Arabidopsis thaliana: one gene and its partner. The protein of the gene in region 1 interacts with the protein of each later gene in a pairwise test. Each region holds a gene or a part of one and is shown in the gene's direction. Other genes may lie near its edges.

Region 1 (9,091 bases):
TTGATAGTGTCTCCTATGCTATCGATCGTGTTGCCTGCGAGGTATAGCTACATTCACTTTTTGTTTGCCACAATTCAAGTGATTCTTTGTTTAGACTTTTTTGGCTCACCAAAATAACATCCAAGTTATTAGGTTTCGTTCGGGCTAAATTCGGTGTGTTTTGGTTCAGTTTCAGGATATTCAGTCTAAATATAAATATGTTGACCATCTTGGTTCGGTTAGGTTGCGCAGTTTCCACCTACCCCTAGATATCAATCTTTGTGGTTATAGATGCTCTTATAAACCACACTCTCTAAAGATTGTTGTACACGTAACCAGCAATAACTTGTTACAGAAGCAATACACTGTTTACGTGGTTCTCTCTCTGTTCTTCTTTTCAGATAGCCTATAAGTCTCTGACGGGATCTGATTCACACGAAATCACAATGTCCGTGTTCGAACACCTCTCGAGCTTCCAGTGGGACGGCAAGCTCGTGCTGACTCTAGCAGCGTTCGCGTTGAACTATGGAGAGTTTTGGCTTCTGGTCCAATTCTACTCAAAGAACCAGCTTGCTAAGTCCCTAGCTATGCTCAAGCTCGTCCCTGTGCAGAACAGAGTGACCCTAGAGTCTGTGTCCCAAGGGCTCAACGATCTCATCCGAGAGATGAAGAGCGTCACGGCATGTGTAGTGGAACTCAGCGAGTTACCTGATCGGTACATTACACCAGACGTTCCTCAGCTGTCGAGAATCCTCTCTACAATCCCAATTGCTGTCTATTGGACCATAAGAAGCGTCATCGCTTGCATTTCTCAGATCAACATGATCACTGCTATGGGACATGAGTATGATAATTAACTTTGTTTTAATCGATCTTTCTATTGATCACACGCTAACGCGTACACTTTATTTATCAGGATGATGAACACGCAAATGGATTTATGGGAAACATCGATGTTAGCTAACAAGCTTAAGAACATACATGACCATCTCGCTGAGACCTTGAGGCTTTGTTACCGGCATATAGGTTTGTTTGTTTGTTCCGTCCCATTCAACAGCTATTCATCACCCTGTTTCTTTACTGACAAAGACTGGAATTTGCAGAGAAGCAGAGGAGCTCAGAGTCCTTAAAGGTGTTGCATTCTCTATTCGACACCACTCACATTGATAACATGAAGATTCTCACGGCCTTGGTTCATCCCAAACCCCACATCACTCCATTGCAAGATGGTTTGACCAAGAGAAAGGTTTTCGTGTTAGGTTTTTTTTTATAGAAAGGTTCATCAATACAAAAGATTTTAACTAAGAAATCTCTGTTCTGTTATATGAATGTTGCAGGTTCACTTGGATGTGTTGAGGAGGAAGACAGTGTTGCTGCTCATCTCTGATCTCAACATACTACAAGATGAGCTATCGATTTTCGAGCAAATCTACACAGAGTCAAGGAGGAACTTGGTTGGGGTCGATGGTAAGAGTCATATGCCTTACGAGGTTGTGTGGGTTCCAGTAGTGGATCCTATTGAAGATTTTGAAAGATCTCCGATTTTACAGAAGAAATTTGAGGATCTCCGTGACCCTATGCCATGGTATCTAACACATTTATTTCAAAACACACATTCTAGTAGTTGTAAAGAAAGATGGAGAAATATAATTGGAAGTTATTTTTTTTTGTGGGGGTCAGGTATTCAGTGGATAGCCCGAAGCTGATAGAGAGACATGTGGTGGAGTTTATGAGAGGGAGATGGCATTTTATGAACAAGCCGATACTTGTGGTGATTGATCCACAAGGCAACGAGGCTAGCCTCAATGCGCTTCATATGATCTGGATTTGGGGCACTGAAGCTTTCCCTTTCACTAGATCTCGTGAGGAAGAGCTCTGGAGGAGAGAGACCTTTTCCCTTAACCTCATCGTCGACGGCATCGACTCTGTCATTTTCAACTGGGTATTTCAAAAGTCTCATCCTTTTTTCTTTTTATGATTGGCCTGGAAACTCTAGAAACAGAGCAGGCAGGGTTTGACCTAAATTACATTCATTCAAGAACGAGGCGTGATTAATGAACAATGATGGGTCTGATTTGCAGATAAAACCGGATAATTACATTTTCCTGTACGGAGGAGATGACTTGGACTGGATAAGGAGATTCACAATGGCGGCCAAAGCAACGGCCAAAGATTCCAACGTGAACCTTGAGATGGCTTACGTCGGAAAACGAAACCATAGCCACAGGGAACAGATCAGGCGTATCAGTGAAGTAATCAGGTCTGAAAACCTGAGCCATAGCTGGGCCGAACCTGCCTTGATGTGGTTCTTCTGGACTAGGCTCGAGAGCATGTTGTACTCCAAGATTCAACTCGGTAAAGCCGATGATCACGACGATGTAAGAGTTGACTAGCTAGGGTTTTCAATTATTTCGGTTCGGTTCGGTTCAATTGGTTAATGAATGATTTTGTGTGTTTGAAAACGTTGATTAGGTGATGCAAGGAATCAAAAAGATACTAAGCTACGACAAGCTTGGAGGATGGGCACTACTGAGCAAAGGACCTGAGATAGTGATGATCGCTCACGGTGCCATAGAGAGGACTATGAGTGTTTACGACCGGACCTGGAAAACCCACGTCCCGACCAAAGGCTACACCAAAGCAATGTCCGACCACCACCACGATGAGGTCCTCCGTGAAACCGGAAAACCTTGCGGCCACTTTGATTTCCACATCACTGCTCGGAGCGGTCGGATTCCGGAGAAGATGAATTGCTTCGAGTGTCAGCGTCCGATGGAGAAGTACATGAGCTTCTCTTGTTGTCACGATGAAAAGCTCCACGAAGACGAGAACTACAACTTCTAAATGATGCAATAAGCTCACGTCTCTTCCCGCTGCTTTTTCTTTTTGTTTTACGTAATTTGAATTCTCTATATAGTTTTTCATAAATAATTTCTGAATTTCAATATCTTTGTATGAGAGAGAATTGGTCATTCCATGTGTGTGGTTTGGCCTTTGTGGGACATGTTCGATTGAAGTATTCCTAATAATTTTCAATAATTAACAATTTCTTCTCTTAATAGCATAGATAAATGTTGAATTTATTTTGTTAATAAAATTAACCCTGATGAATACAACAATTTTGAATATGTCAAATTAGACCAATTCAAAATATAACTATTTGCTTTCTTTCTTCTCATAATGTTTATATATCCCACTTTAGTAAATGGACCCCCACGAAGCACACCACAGCATACTCTTTTTTATTCTTTCCAGTTTCTAATGGTTTACTTATATACTCTTATCATTTTCTAATTGATCAATTTGTCATTTATTGGCTTATCTTCTTATAAATGTTTTTTGTGTTAGTTGTTGATATCTCATTTTCTTGTCCAGTGAATTATAGCATTTCAATGTGTCCCTCATGTCGTCAATATAATGTTTTATTTTCCTTGTTATGATCCATATCTTCATGTGTGGTCCATCTTCAAATAAAGAATGGATTGTTACTACTCTTATCGTTTGGGCTAGTTTTTATAATTAGACACAAAATTTGTAACTTTCATTCTTTTTTTAGTATTTAACACAAAGTAATTTGATGGATTAGTCTAAATAATAAAGGCAAAAAGTTAAGTAAATGTCAAAAGAGATATGGCATATGTCTAATCATAACCAATGAATTGCATGGTTCTATCTAAATAGCAACCATATCATCCCACATGCCATTGTCCACCTTGTCTATCTTAGGAAAACACTTTGTTTGTAACTCTATTGTACTCTTTGAATTATGAAATCTATGTAAACCCTTCTTATTGTGGGGGACAAAGGCTAATTTTAATGGTCTGTCCACTTCTGCTTGACTTTGATACATAAATTAGGGGTGGCTCATGTCATATCTATGAGAATTAGGTACAAAAGAGTTTTCAAATGAGCAAGTTGTATTTTTATTCGATTAGCCGTCGTATTATGTCAAATATAAGTTAAAAATATGTAAAAGTACAAAATGTAGATTATGATATTAGGGATGAATTGAGATAAAATTACCTATAATTTATTACTACGCATAATAAATAATTTGTTACGTTAATTCTCATAGATACGTTATAGCCAATACCGAACCCCTATTTAAGTCAAAAGTACTTCTAAGTATTTTTTAGCGTAAATCAATTTTTATGAAAAGCAACAATTAAGATTAATGTAGTAATCTAGTAATCGTTAAAAAAGCCACTTTGTTAGTATTGCTTAATACTCTCTCTCTCTCTCTGTTCCCAAGGAGATGAAAAGCTTCAATCTCAAAACATAGCAGCTCTCTCAATAAACCAAACCCAAATGCAAGCTGTGTAGAGAGAAACGGAGTGAGGAAGGAAGGAGATGGGAGGGGTGACGTCATCGGTGGCGGCGAAGTTTGCCTTCTTCCCGCCGAGTCCACCGTCTTACAAGGTGGTGACCGACGAGCTCACCGGACTGTTGCTTCTCAGCCCTTTCCCCCACCGCGAAAACGTAGAAATCGTAAAGCTTCGGACCAGGAGAGGCACAGAGATCGTGGGCATGTACGTGAGGCATCCGATGGCTACCTCCACGCTCCTCTACTCCCATGGCAACGCCGCCGATCTGGGACAGATGTATGAGCTCTTCATTGAGCTTAGCATCCATCTCAAGGTTAATCTTATGGGGTCTGTTTTTCTTTCTCTCCCTTTGTAATTCGATTGATTTTATTATTATGATGCTGATTTAAAAATGTTATCTTTGTATGCTTCTTTTGATTGATTTGGTATAGGATTTGCCCTGTTTTGATTCTCACGTTTCTAGCTCTGTTTCTAGTATTTGCTCTGTTTATGTTTGGAGTGTTTATTCACCACCCCAATAAAAAAGGAAACTTGGGCTAGGATCTGCTTGGAATCAATCAGTCTTTGATATTATTGGTTGTGATGTTGCAGATACGATTACTCCGGGTATGGACAATCTACTGGAAAGGTTTGTCCTTTACCCCATCAATCTGATTGGTCTGATGATCCATTATGAGTTTTAGGACCAACTCTCAAAAATCTTTCTTTCTCTTAAATGATTGATTGTAGCCGAGTGAGCATAACACGTATGCTGATATCGAAGCTGTTTATAAGTGTCTTGAAGAAACCTTTGGCTCTAAGCAGGAAGGTGTCATCCTCTACGGCCAATCTGTAGGCAGCGGACCTACGTTAGATCTTGCTTCCCGGTTGCCTCAACTTAGAGCCGTCGTCCTTCACAGCCCCATTCTCTCCGGTTTAAGAGTTATGTATTCCGTCAAGAAAACCTACTGGTTCGACATCTACAAGGTAGACCACGTACCAATTCTTTCTATTAATCCTACACATTCTCCAAATTGTAATGTAAGAAGCTTGTTGTGTGTGAGTGTGTGTTTTTCCGCAGAATATCGACAAAATCCCATATGTCGATTGCCCGGTTCTCATCATTCATGTAAGTCAGGTTTCAGATAGATACATTTTCGTTTGAATTTTTGATAAGCTTTTTGGATCCAAACAGTTTCAAATATGTGCAGGGAACTTCGGATGAGGTAGTGGATTGTTCTCATGGGAAACAACTATGGGAACTCTGCAAAGACAAGTACGAGCCGCTCTGGGTGAAAGGAGGGAACCACTGTGATCTTGAACACTACCCTGAATACATTAGACACCTCAAGAAGTTCATAGCAACAGTAGAGAGATTACCATGTCCGAGGATGAGCAGCGACCAATCAGAGAGAGTGAGAGATGCGCCCCCGAGGAGAAGTATGGACAGGAGAGTGAAGCCGAGGCAGAGCACAGAGCGTAGAGAGAAAGAGAAGCCACCAAAGAGTCAGTCGAAGATGAGTAGCAGCAGCAGCAAGCTCAAGATCTCGTTTGATCAACTTGATCGCTCGCGGAGGAGCGTTGACTGCCATGAAAAGACTCGGAAGAGCGTTGACCAGATTGAGAGGGGGAGGAAGAGTGTGGATAGGTTGGATAGAGTTCGCTCCGAGTAAAAACCACACACTCACACTCACACACGTATAATACGTATGTAGATGAAAAGAGTACATAACTGTTTCTATTTACCGAACAAAATAACATGTGGATGTCGCTCCTCATATTATTGATTTGTAATCTTTTATGCAATTTGGGATCTCTCTCGCCATCTCCTTTTGAATCAACAACCTTTTGTGGTGGGCTTGAATATCCATCCTCTGTTTTTAGATGAGTTTTTAGTGTTTGTGGTAAGTAGGAAAGTTCCAAAACAAAGATCACACATCTCATGTGGGCCTGAACTAAATTCATGGCCCAATCGTTTGTTCTTAATAGAAATCCAATTTTTAGGATCTCGCTATCTTTTGCTACGTACAAAAATTAATATATACAAAAAGTAGCTCACTTCTAAAATAAGGCTAATGGATGCCCATTTTCTTCTCAAATCCATCGATTTTCCTAAAATTTCTCAAATTTCAAAACATATAAATCCATCTCATTGTCCTCTTGTTTTCCTTCATCTGAAGCTTCTGCAGTATTCAAACAAATAAAATATACTGCTTTAGCTTTGGACACCTCCTCTTACTAATCTCTATAACTATATTTAAAAAGTAGAAAATAATGGCACGTCTATTTGTCGTAGTTGCCCTTTTGGCTTTGGCCGTGGGCACCGTATTCGCCGCCGATGCACCTTCAGCTGCACCCACCGCCTCACCAACCAAATCCCCAACCAAGGCTCCTGCCGCTGCACCCAAATCCTCCGCCGCCGCACCGAAAGCATCATCCCCTGTTGCTGAGGAACCCACCCCTGAAGACGACTACTCTGCAGCCAGCCCCAGTGACTCCGCCGAGGCACCCACCGTCTCCTCCCCACCCGCTCCTACCCCCGAAGCCGATGGTCCCTCCTCCGACGGACCCTCATCTGATGGACCCGCCGCCGCCGAGTCACCCAAAAGTGGCGCCACGACTAATGTGAAGCTCTCCATCGCCGGCACTGTCGCCGCCGCCGGATTCTTCATCTTCTCTCTCTAAGTTTTGTTTTTTAATTAAACTTGAGACGGAATCATAAGATTCACATTATGAGATGAGGCCGTATCTCTTTAACTAACTAACTATACTATATACAGTGATTTATATTAATCAAGAGATTGAATGGAGTTATTATTATTACGTACCGTTGTTGTACTATGTTTTTTTTGATTACGTAATTTTTGATGATTGTGAACTTATTAATGTTTATTTAGAAATTAAATGAAAAACAAATTTTTCAAAGAGGGCATTTGGTCTAGTGGTATGATTCTCGCTTAGGGTGCGAGAGGTCCCGAGTTCAATTCTCGGAATGCCCCCTTTCTTTCTTATTTTGTGTTTTCAAATCATATATAAACAAAGTTTACAAATATTCATACAATGCAATCTAGTAAAATTCAATATTCCTTCTTGGAATAAAACCAAATACAGTATGTCAACAATTCCAAACTAATCCTTTTTTGAGGCAATCCGGTTTTGATAGTTCTCCCCACAGCCACAGGCGCTAAGTCAGCGCAATATCTCTCTGAAAGATGATGATAGGGAGTTTCTGTAAGACCTCTCTGCTACTGTAACAGAGCCTACAAAGACCACACAGAGAACTCTCAGACACAGAAACGATGGCTACTATCTTTTTCTTTTAGTACTTCACACATACATTTGGCGATTAGTGAAAGTAAGCTTACTTTCTTAGTTTGGTCTGTTGATTTTGGTCTCTGTTTGTAGAAATTTGGAAGTGGCTTCGCTTTGAAGCATAGCCTTTGCCTTAGTTTACTCTCTTCCTTCTCCACACTCCTCTCCTCCGCCTTCTGGTTCTGTGTCTCCATTTCCTTGAATTTCCCCTCTAGCTTCTGAAACACAAGAACCAGTTAAATGATGGTAAGTGACAAGACAAAAGCGTAGAAACCAAAAATATCTCTATTCTTGCCTTTTTTCTTCTCTCTGCTCTCTCCTCTGTTCTTAAGCCAAACGGTGTAAAACAGCTCGGTGTCCTGCTTTTGTTTTCCAATAACTTGGTTAAAAAGGTACGTACACATTATACATTTTTGAATTGAGTAAACTCTTATGAAGATCAGTTCTTCTTACTCCGCAGGGAGGAAATTCCATCTTCCTCGACCTGTCTTGGCAGAAGAATTAGGAGCTATCTTCCCTCTGCACTTACTGTAACACCTGATTACTTCTCTAACCACTCGTGAATGAAGGAAGTAAAAAGAAGTTTTCTAAGAGTTAATTCAGTTTTTACCTTGTGTTACTCGATAAAGGTGTGGACAAGGAGTCTTCAACCATTCCCTTTGCAGACACCTGCAATCATCACAAGAGCATAAGCACTTGGTTGAGTGAAACACAGTTTAAAGAATGCAGTCACCTTGTTTGATGGTGTCCGGAGAGGAGTTTTGCAGTCTTTGGTTGGTTTAGAAGAAGCTCTTGACCCATCAATCTTCCTTATGATGGACACCAATCTATTGAACTCTTTTGCAGGCGTGAAAGTGTACGAGCTGCTCTTGTTATTAGACTTTTTACTTGGAGTCCTCTCCGATGAATTGTACTTAGAGACTCTTGGTTTAGTACTACTCTTTGGTTGTGAATCTTTGGATTTCTTCTTCACAGACTGTTACAGATCAAGAACAATAGAAAAAAAAGTCAGAGAGAAAGAAAACTCTTAATCACCATCTCTTAATAAATACACATGTATAAATATATACCTTTAGTATAGGTTTCTCCTCATCTACTTGTTCTTCAGCTGTGCGGCCATTGATCTCTGACTCAGCCATGCCACAGTTCTCTTTCTCATCAGATTGTCTATTACTAAATCGGCCTTCTTTCTCTGCAAGTAATTTCAATTGAGCAGAAACATCTAAAGATCCTCTTGGAATCTCAAGATCCGGTTTTGAGACCATCCAATCTTTCTTTTCTCCTTCATTGATATCTTCTTCTTGAACTGGAGACTTCTCTGGTTGGGGTTTAGGGATTTGCTGCTGAAGCAAGAGTGCCTCTTCAGCAGCAGCTTTTCTAGCAGCAGCGACTTTCTTGTAGTGAGCTTCAAAGAAAGCTTTCTTCTGAGCAACAGATCCGGGCTTAGAGTATCTCTCTGCCTCAGCCACGTAAGGGTTCTGTGTGGAGAAAGCAGA
Region 2 (6,449 bases), on another chromosome or scaffold:
AATTAATTAATGAAATAATCTTTGAAAATAGGCATTGACGAATGGGAGATTCACTAGCGTGAGGCATAGGGTTTTAGCAAACACAGCAAAGAAGCCACGTATGTCGGCGATGTACTTTGCAGCTCCACCGTTAGAGGCGAAAATATCACCGTTGCCAAAAATGGTGTCGCCGGAAAATCCAAGACGTTATAATTCATTCACATGGGGTGACTACAAAAAAGCTACATACTCTCTCCGTTTAGATGTCCCTCGTCTCGAGTTTTTCAAGACTTTATAGATTATATTCATACCATTGAAAGCTAGATTTTTTATTTTTTTTTTGCTTGTTGAAAAAGAAAATATGATTGTTGGATTGTTACAAATATATACCATGTGAAATGTATAGATTTAGATGAACAAAAAGAAAAAGAAAATTGAGTTTTGGTCATTTACTTTGTAATTTACTAATTTCACATGTGAATCAGTGGATCATTGCAATTTCTAAAGAAAAGCTCTAAAACATTCCAGTAAGAGAAATTATACCTTTTTTTTCTTCAACTACAAGTCTACAAGTCATGCATCATCAGTACATCACAATCATAAAAAACGACTTATGATAAAAATAAAAATAAACTTGAGCTTCTGATCGGTAGAAACTATGATCCATGAAACGCGTCCGATCACAATGGACTCTTTGGTCCACTGCAGTTGTACTCTCGATCATAATTACACGAATTAAAACCTCTTTATACAAAATCGGCTATTACTTATCTAGGTATGCTTGATTTCATTTGAAGGTTTTATAAAAGGTTGCAGGGGACAAGTCCAAATAATATGAACCACATCTGACCCTAACTATAAAAATTAATCCACAATCGATTATAATTATTAAAAAAAACTGTATCTAAAGCATACGCCAATCCGTTAAAAGTAAACAAAATCTTTATGCAAACCTTATAGAAGTTCGAAAACAACAACATAAATAATTTCTGATCATAATCAAAGAATCAGAAAAACCATAACTCCAAACACGAACAGCTTCATCACCGAAAAGCTTTCTACTGCCACAGCCGCTCCATAGTAATTTTCAATAGGGTACAAGTCTCCCGGCGGATATGTGAATACGTAATTAGGTGGAGGTGGAGGTGGCGGTGGCGGCAGAGGCGATGGTGGACAGGAAGATTTCTTCGGGGGTGGTGGTGACGGAGGAGGAGGGGAGGGTGTACAAGAAGGAGGTGGCGGAGACGGAGGCGGAGGCGGTTGATTTTGGAGACAAGGTATGCAGTTAACGTCAACTTCGGCTGAAGAATCTTCGGCGTTGATTATGATCGGAGATGCGAGGATCACGATAGCCATGAGGATTGTGGCCGCAAGATCCGTCGATCGGCGAGTTTTAGGCGACATGTTGTAACAATGTTTTGGGCTTAGACTTGTGTATATAAAAAGATGATCAAACTTATGGAATGTATATTAGTGAAGTTATTTGTGGAAGATTATTACAGAGAGATCCATCACAATAAATGAAATAATTTCGTAATAACATCGGAGATATGGAAATCTTAAATGACAGCAGATTTGTCCAAAATTAGATACATGTAATAAACACGTTAAATTTAAGTATGAAATGACAATATTCCTTGTATACTCTAATTTTCATTTGGGCTTTATTGGGCCAAATAATATGGGCTTACAATTAAAAATTCGACTGAACGGATGTGAATAATTTTTTTTTGAAAGAACCGACTATCTTTATTCTTACCAGACCACAAAGACAAGTCGTTGTTTGACTTGTTGACTTTTTTTTTAATCCACAAGTTTTTTTTTTTTTGTTGCGTCAGATTTTTTGTTTGTTTTCCAGTGACGTCTTTGATCTCCCTCCCGCCGACGACACAAGCACGCCGTCTGGTTTACCTGTAAGTCTTCTATTCTCTTCTTTTCCTTTCGCGTGCTTCCTCTTTGATAGGTTACATTCTTTAATCGATCATGGCATCGTTCTTGGCCTCTGATTCGATTACGCTCGGGTGATTTTTTTTTTTTCCCCCGATTATTGATCTCGCCGGAGGTTGCGGAAGGGAGAAATTGGGTTTCAAATTTTCGAAATTTTCAAGTAATGTAATCTGGGTTCGTGTTTATTGTGCAGATAAGTGTTTTTGTGTGGTGTCTGTGTCTCACTGTGTCGATAGATTAAAATAATTTCTCTTCGGCCATGTCGTGGTCGAAAGCTTGTAGAGGAACTCGAATTTCTTCATATTTAGAGAACCTTCATCGAACATCTCAGTATCCAAGGTAATTGAATTTTATGCATGCGCATGAACTGTTTGTTAAAATTCCTCAAAGAGAAGTTCTATCAGTTTTATAGAATTAAGTTTGTGAGAAATGTTTATGTCGATGTAGGACTATTTTATGCTCTCGTTATTACACTCATGGAGCTTGTAAAAGCAATGAGCATTATCTCCGAAGCAAGAGAGTATTTTGGGGAAGCTCTTCTTCATGGAGCTTGAATTCTCACTCTGCTACTGCTAAATCGATGTTAGATAGTGCCCATCGCCAGTATTCTACTCACTCTCCATCGGAAACCAAATCACAGAAAATGCTCTATTACCTCACCGCTGTTGTCTTTGGTATGGTGGGGTTAACTTACGCTGCTGTGCCATTGTATAGAACATTCTGCCAAGCTACTGGATATGGAGGTACTGTTCAACGCAAAGAGGTATATATCGTTTTTGTTTCTTCCTTTCTATTTTTATCCTCTTGAGTTTTCAAGTCTACTTAGTGGCTCTTCCTCAGTCTTTTTGTTTGGCTTTATACTACAGACTGTTGAGGAGAAGATTGCTAGGCATTCAGAATCTGGTACCGTCACTGAAAGGTGTTTATTTCTCTGTTCTTAACACCATTCTTCTTTATATGTTTCTTAACACCATTCTTCTTTATATGTGTTTATAATGAACTTGCTAGCTTACTATATTCTCTACTATGATTGTCTGGTAAACAGGGAGATTGTGGTGCAGTTCAATGCTGATGTTGCAGATGGGATGCAGTGGAAGTTCACTCCAACACAAAGAGAGGTTTAGACTTTATATCTCAAGAAGAATGTTGAGACGAATTAGTGTGTTTTTAACTGATATGTCTTTTTGGTTTTGGTACTTTCTTATAGGTTAGAGTAAAGCCAGGAGAAAGTGCACTCGCATTTTACACTGCTGAAAACAAAAGTTCAGCTCCAATAACCGGAGTCTCGACATACAATGTCACTCCCATGAAGGTATATATATTAGCCTTGGTAGTGGATCCTATTAACTTCCCATAGAACATAGATTGGTCGATTCTCAAAATCTTATATTGGTTTCTTCAGGCAGGAGTTTATTTCAACAAGATACAATGTTTTTGCTTTGAGGAGCAGCGACTCCTTCCTGGAGAGCAGATTGACATGCCGGTAACTACTCTTTTGTTCTTGGCTATATTCTCCTCAGATAAAATCAAGAGTCCATTAAAACCTATAATTTCTTGGTTTTGCAGGTCTTCTTCTACATTGATCCTGAGTTTGAGACTGATCCAAGAATGGACGGAATCAACAACTTGATATTGTCTTACACTTTCTTCAAAGTGTCAGAGGAAAATACTACAGAGACGGTCAACAATAACAACTCTGTTCCAGTTCAAGAAACCAATTAAAAAAAGTGTCCATGTTTTTTAAGAGCTACAAAATATCTTGTGACACAACCTTATGCAAGAACAGTCTCTCTTAGATTTAATAACCAATTTCCAAATTCGGAAACCAATGTTCAAAACCCACGGAACAGAAAAAAGAAGAAAAATGTTGGTAAAATGAATTCACTATAAGCTCTTCTCTTCGTTTTTTTTTCGTTAAGTTTATAAGGATATCGGTTTTTACTGTCTCTTTGGCTCTGATTGAAGAAAAATTTAAATATCGTCTGTAGATATTTTATGGGATGCTTTGAGAATGGGCTTCGTTTTAATGGGCCTCCTCTGCAATCATTGTCCAGAGTCGAGAAACCACCTCTTCTTCTCTTGTTCTTTCTCCAAATCGATTTGGTCCCAACTCTCTTCAAGCAAAGGAGAGATATGAAAATGAAAGCTCTTACGGCGAACAAGTTTTTCCGATTGAAGAAGAGAAGAATCTAGAAGATGAAGACAACACTAGTGCACCAAACAGTTTTGCGCGTCTTGAGAGGAAACAAAAAACTATTCAGAGTTCAGAGAGAGTCAACCCCCAAACGAGACTTAAACGATGAGCCCACTATAATTTTATAATTTATGGGCCATCAGGCCCAAATGATCAGTAGTAGTTATTATTTGACTTTTGACATGGTGGATTTGGTTTAACCACCAAACCGAACGAGTAAAACACTATTGGATTGGGTGATGATATCCCGGTTTTATTTGGTTAAAATCACAAAATCCTGATTTTGGTTCGCGGCTTGATTCTGCCGCTCTCTCGTCTTTAACCTAACTAAAGACGTAGAATGATTCTGGTTATTGAATTAGTTTGATACAGAGAGAGCGAGCTTCGGTTTTTCTTCTCCGATTTGGAACCAAAGCTCAGATTTTGGATTTTGTTAGACGATTTCCAAATGATGATGATCCTCAAGCCTTTATCTTCTCACCACGTTTCCAATTTCCGTCTCTCTGTATCGTTTCTTCACAGCGTGGCACTATCGGATGCGAAGGTTCCTGTAGAAGAAGAAGGCGATGACGCAGAAACTGTTTTCCGGATGATAAATGGATCAAATCTGCAAGTGGAATTGAAGGAATCGTTGAGCTCTAGTGGAATCCACTTGTCCAAGGACTTAATCGATAGGGTTTTGAAAAGGGTAAGGTTTAGTCATGGGAACCCAATTCAAACCCTAGAGTTTTACAGGTACGCTAGTGCTATAAGAGGGTTTTATCATTCTTCGTTTTCTCTAGATACAATGCTTTATATTCTCGGTAGAAATCGAAAGTTCGATCAAATTTGGGAGCTTTTGATTGAGACTAAGCGTAAGGATCGATCTTTGATATCTCCAAGGACGATGCAAGTTGTGTTAGGTAGAGTTGCTAAGTTGTGTTCCGTTAGACAAACTGTTGAATCTTTCTGGAAGTTTAAGAGATTGGTTCCTGATTTCTTTGACACGGCTTGTTTCAATGCTCTCTTGAGAACTCTTTGCCAAGAGAAGAGTATGACTGATGCTAGGAATGTGTATCATAGCTTGAAGCATCAGTTTCAGCCTGATTTGCAGACTTTTAATATACTTTTATCGGGTTGGAAATCATCGGAAGAAGCGGAAGCTTTCTTCGAGGAAATGAAGGGAAAGGGGCTAAAACCTGATGTGGTTACGTATAACTCTTTGATTGATGTGTATTGCAAGGATAGAGAGATTGAGAAAGCTTATAAGTTGATAGATAAGATGCGAGAGGAGGAGGAAACTCCCGATGTTATAACTTATACAACTGTTATAGGTGGGTTGGGGTTAATCGGTCAGCCTGATAAAGCTAGAGAAGTTTTAAAGGAAATGAAGGAGTATGGGTGTTATCCTGATGTTGCGGCTTATAATGCTGCTATTAGGAATTTTTGCATAGCGAGGAGGCTCGGGGATGCGGATAAGTTGGTGGATGAGATGGTGAAGAAGGGTTTGTCTCCGAATGCGACTACTTATAATCTGTTTTTCCGTGTTTTATCGTTGGCAAATGATTTGGGACGGTCTTGGGAGCTGTATGTGAGAATGTTGGGGAATGAGTGTTTGCCGAATACACAATCCTGTATGTTCTTGATTAAGATGTTTAAGAGACACGAGAAAGTGGATATGGCGATGCGGTTGTGGGAAGATATGGTGGTAAAAGGTTTTGGTTCATATAGTTTGGTTTCAGATGTGCTTTTGGATTTGCTTTGTGATTTGGCTAAAGTCGAAGAAGCTGAGAAATGTTTGCTTGAGATGGTTGAGAAAGGTCATAGACCGAGTAATGTCTCGTTTAAAAGGATCAAGTTGTTGATGGAGCTAGCAAATAAGCACGATGAGGTTAATAACTTGATACAAAAGATGGCTATTTTCAGTACAGAGATTCCGCGTTAACAACCAAGACACATTCTTACATTCTTTCAGCATTTTTCAACAGCCAGTCGAGTCCTTCATGTAAACCATCACCAGAGAATGCACATGAGCTCTGGACATGCCTAGCAAGCAAGAATCAAAAAACAGATCATCAGAAGAATCGATCATAATCGCAAAATTAGAGTCTTGAAAGGTTTTTCTTATCTTCTTACCAGTTTCTCTGCCAGTTTTTTTGACGAAGAGAAGTGAGATCAAGCTTGTTACTGATCTCAGAAGCAGACATAGCACCAGGAACTTCATGCTTGTTTCCAAATACAAGAACAGCCACATTGTCCGGTACACTCCCTTGTATCTGTTATACACGGCATCAAACATTAGATTATTTGACTTGCTCAATGTTTAGAGAAGTCAGGTTTGTTTGTTACC

The links.
Region 2: the proteins of AT3G01690 (region 1) and AT1G02410 interact in a two-hybrid assay, tested with the Arabidopsis thaliana proteins (one large-scale study listed by BioGRID).

Annotation. Positions count from the first base shown.
Region 1 is NC_003074.8:252,424-261,514, forward strand, and holds AT3G01690 (alpha/beta-Hydrolases superfamily protein), read left to right. Parts: upstream 1-3,871; 5' UTR 3,872-4,329; coding exon 4,330-4,631; intron 4,632-4,895; coding exon 4,896-4,932; intron 4,933-5,033; coding exon 5,034-5,270; intron 5,271-5,364; coding exon 5,365-5,412; intron 5,413-5,494; coding exon 5,495-5,956; 3' UTR 5,957-6,273; downstream 6,274-9,091. Other genes in the region: SEOR1 (sieve element occlusion amino-terminus protein), read left to right, coding at 1-41, 381-823, 896-1,005, 1,083-1,225, 1,317-1,564, 1,660-1,921, 2,061-2,357, 2,452-2,823; AGP11 (arabinogalactan protein 11), read left to right, coding at 6,558-6,968; AT3G01710 (TPX2 (targeting protein for Xklp2) protein family), read right to left, coding at 7,568-7,813, 7,891-7,954, 8,049-8,114, 8,206-8,264, 8,329-8,571, 8,666-9,091.
Region 2 is NC_003070.9:489,115-495,563, forward strand, and holds AT1G02410 (cytochrome c oxidase assembly protein CtaG / Cox11 family), read left to right. Parts: upstream 1-1,745; 5' UTR 1,746-1,892; exon of another isoform or gene 1,893-2,119; 5' UTR 2,120-2,185; coding exon 2,186-2,265; intron 2,266-2,373; coding exon 2,374-2,689; intron 2,690-2,792; coding exon 2,793-2,845; intron 2,846-2,971; coding exon 2,972-3,044; intron 3,045-3,133; coding exon 3,134-3,238; intron 3,239-3,328; coding exon 3,329-3,409; intron 3,410-3,492; coding exon 3,493-3,648; 3' UTR 3,649-3,849; downstream 3,850-6,449. Other genes in the region: GA2OX6 (gibberellin 2-oxidase 6), read left to right, coding at 32-277; AT1G02405 (proline-rich family protein), read right to left, coding at 979-1,383; AT1G02420 (Pentatricopeptide repeat (PPR) superfamily protein), read left to right, coding at 4,569-6,044; ARFD1B (ADP-ribosylation factor D1B), read right to left, coding at 6,061-6,145, 6,236-6,375, 6,449-6,449. UniProt on the Arabidopsis thaliana protein: Exerts its effect at some terminal stage of cytochrome c oxidase synthesis, probably by being involved in the insertion of the copper B into subunit I.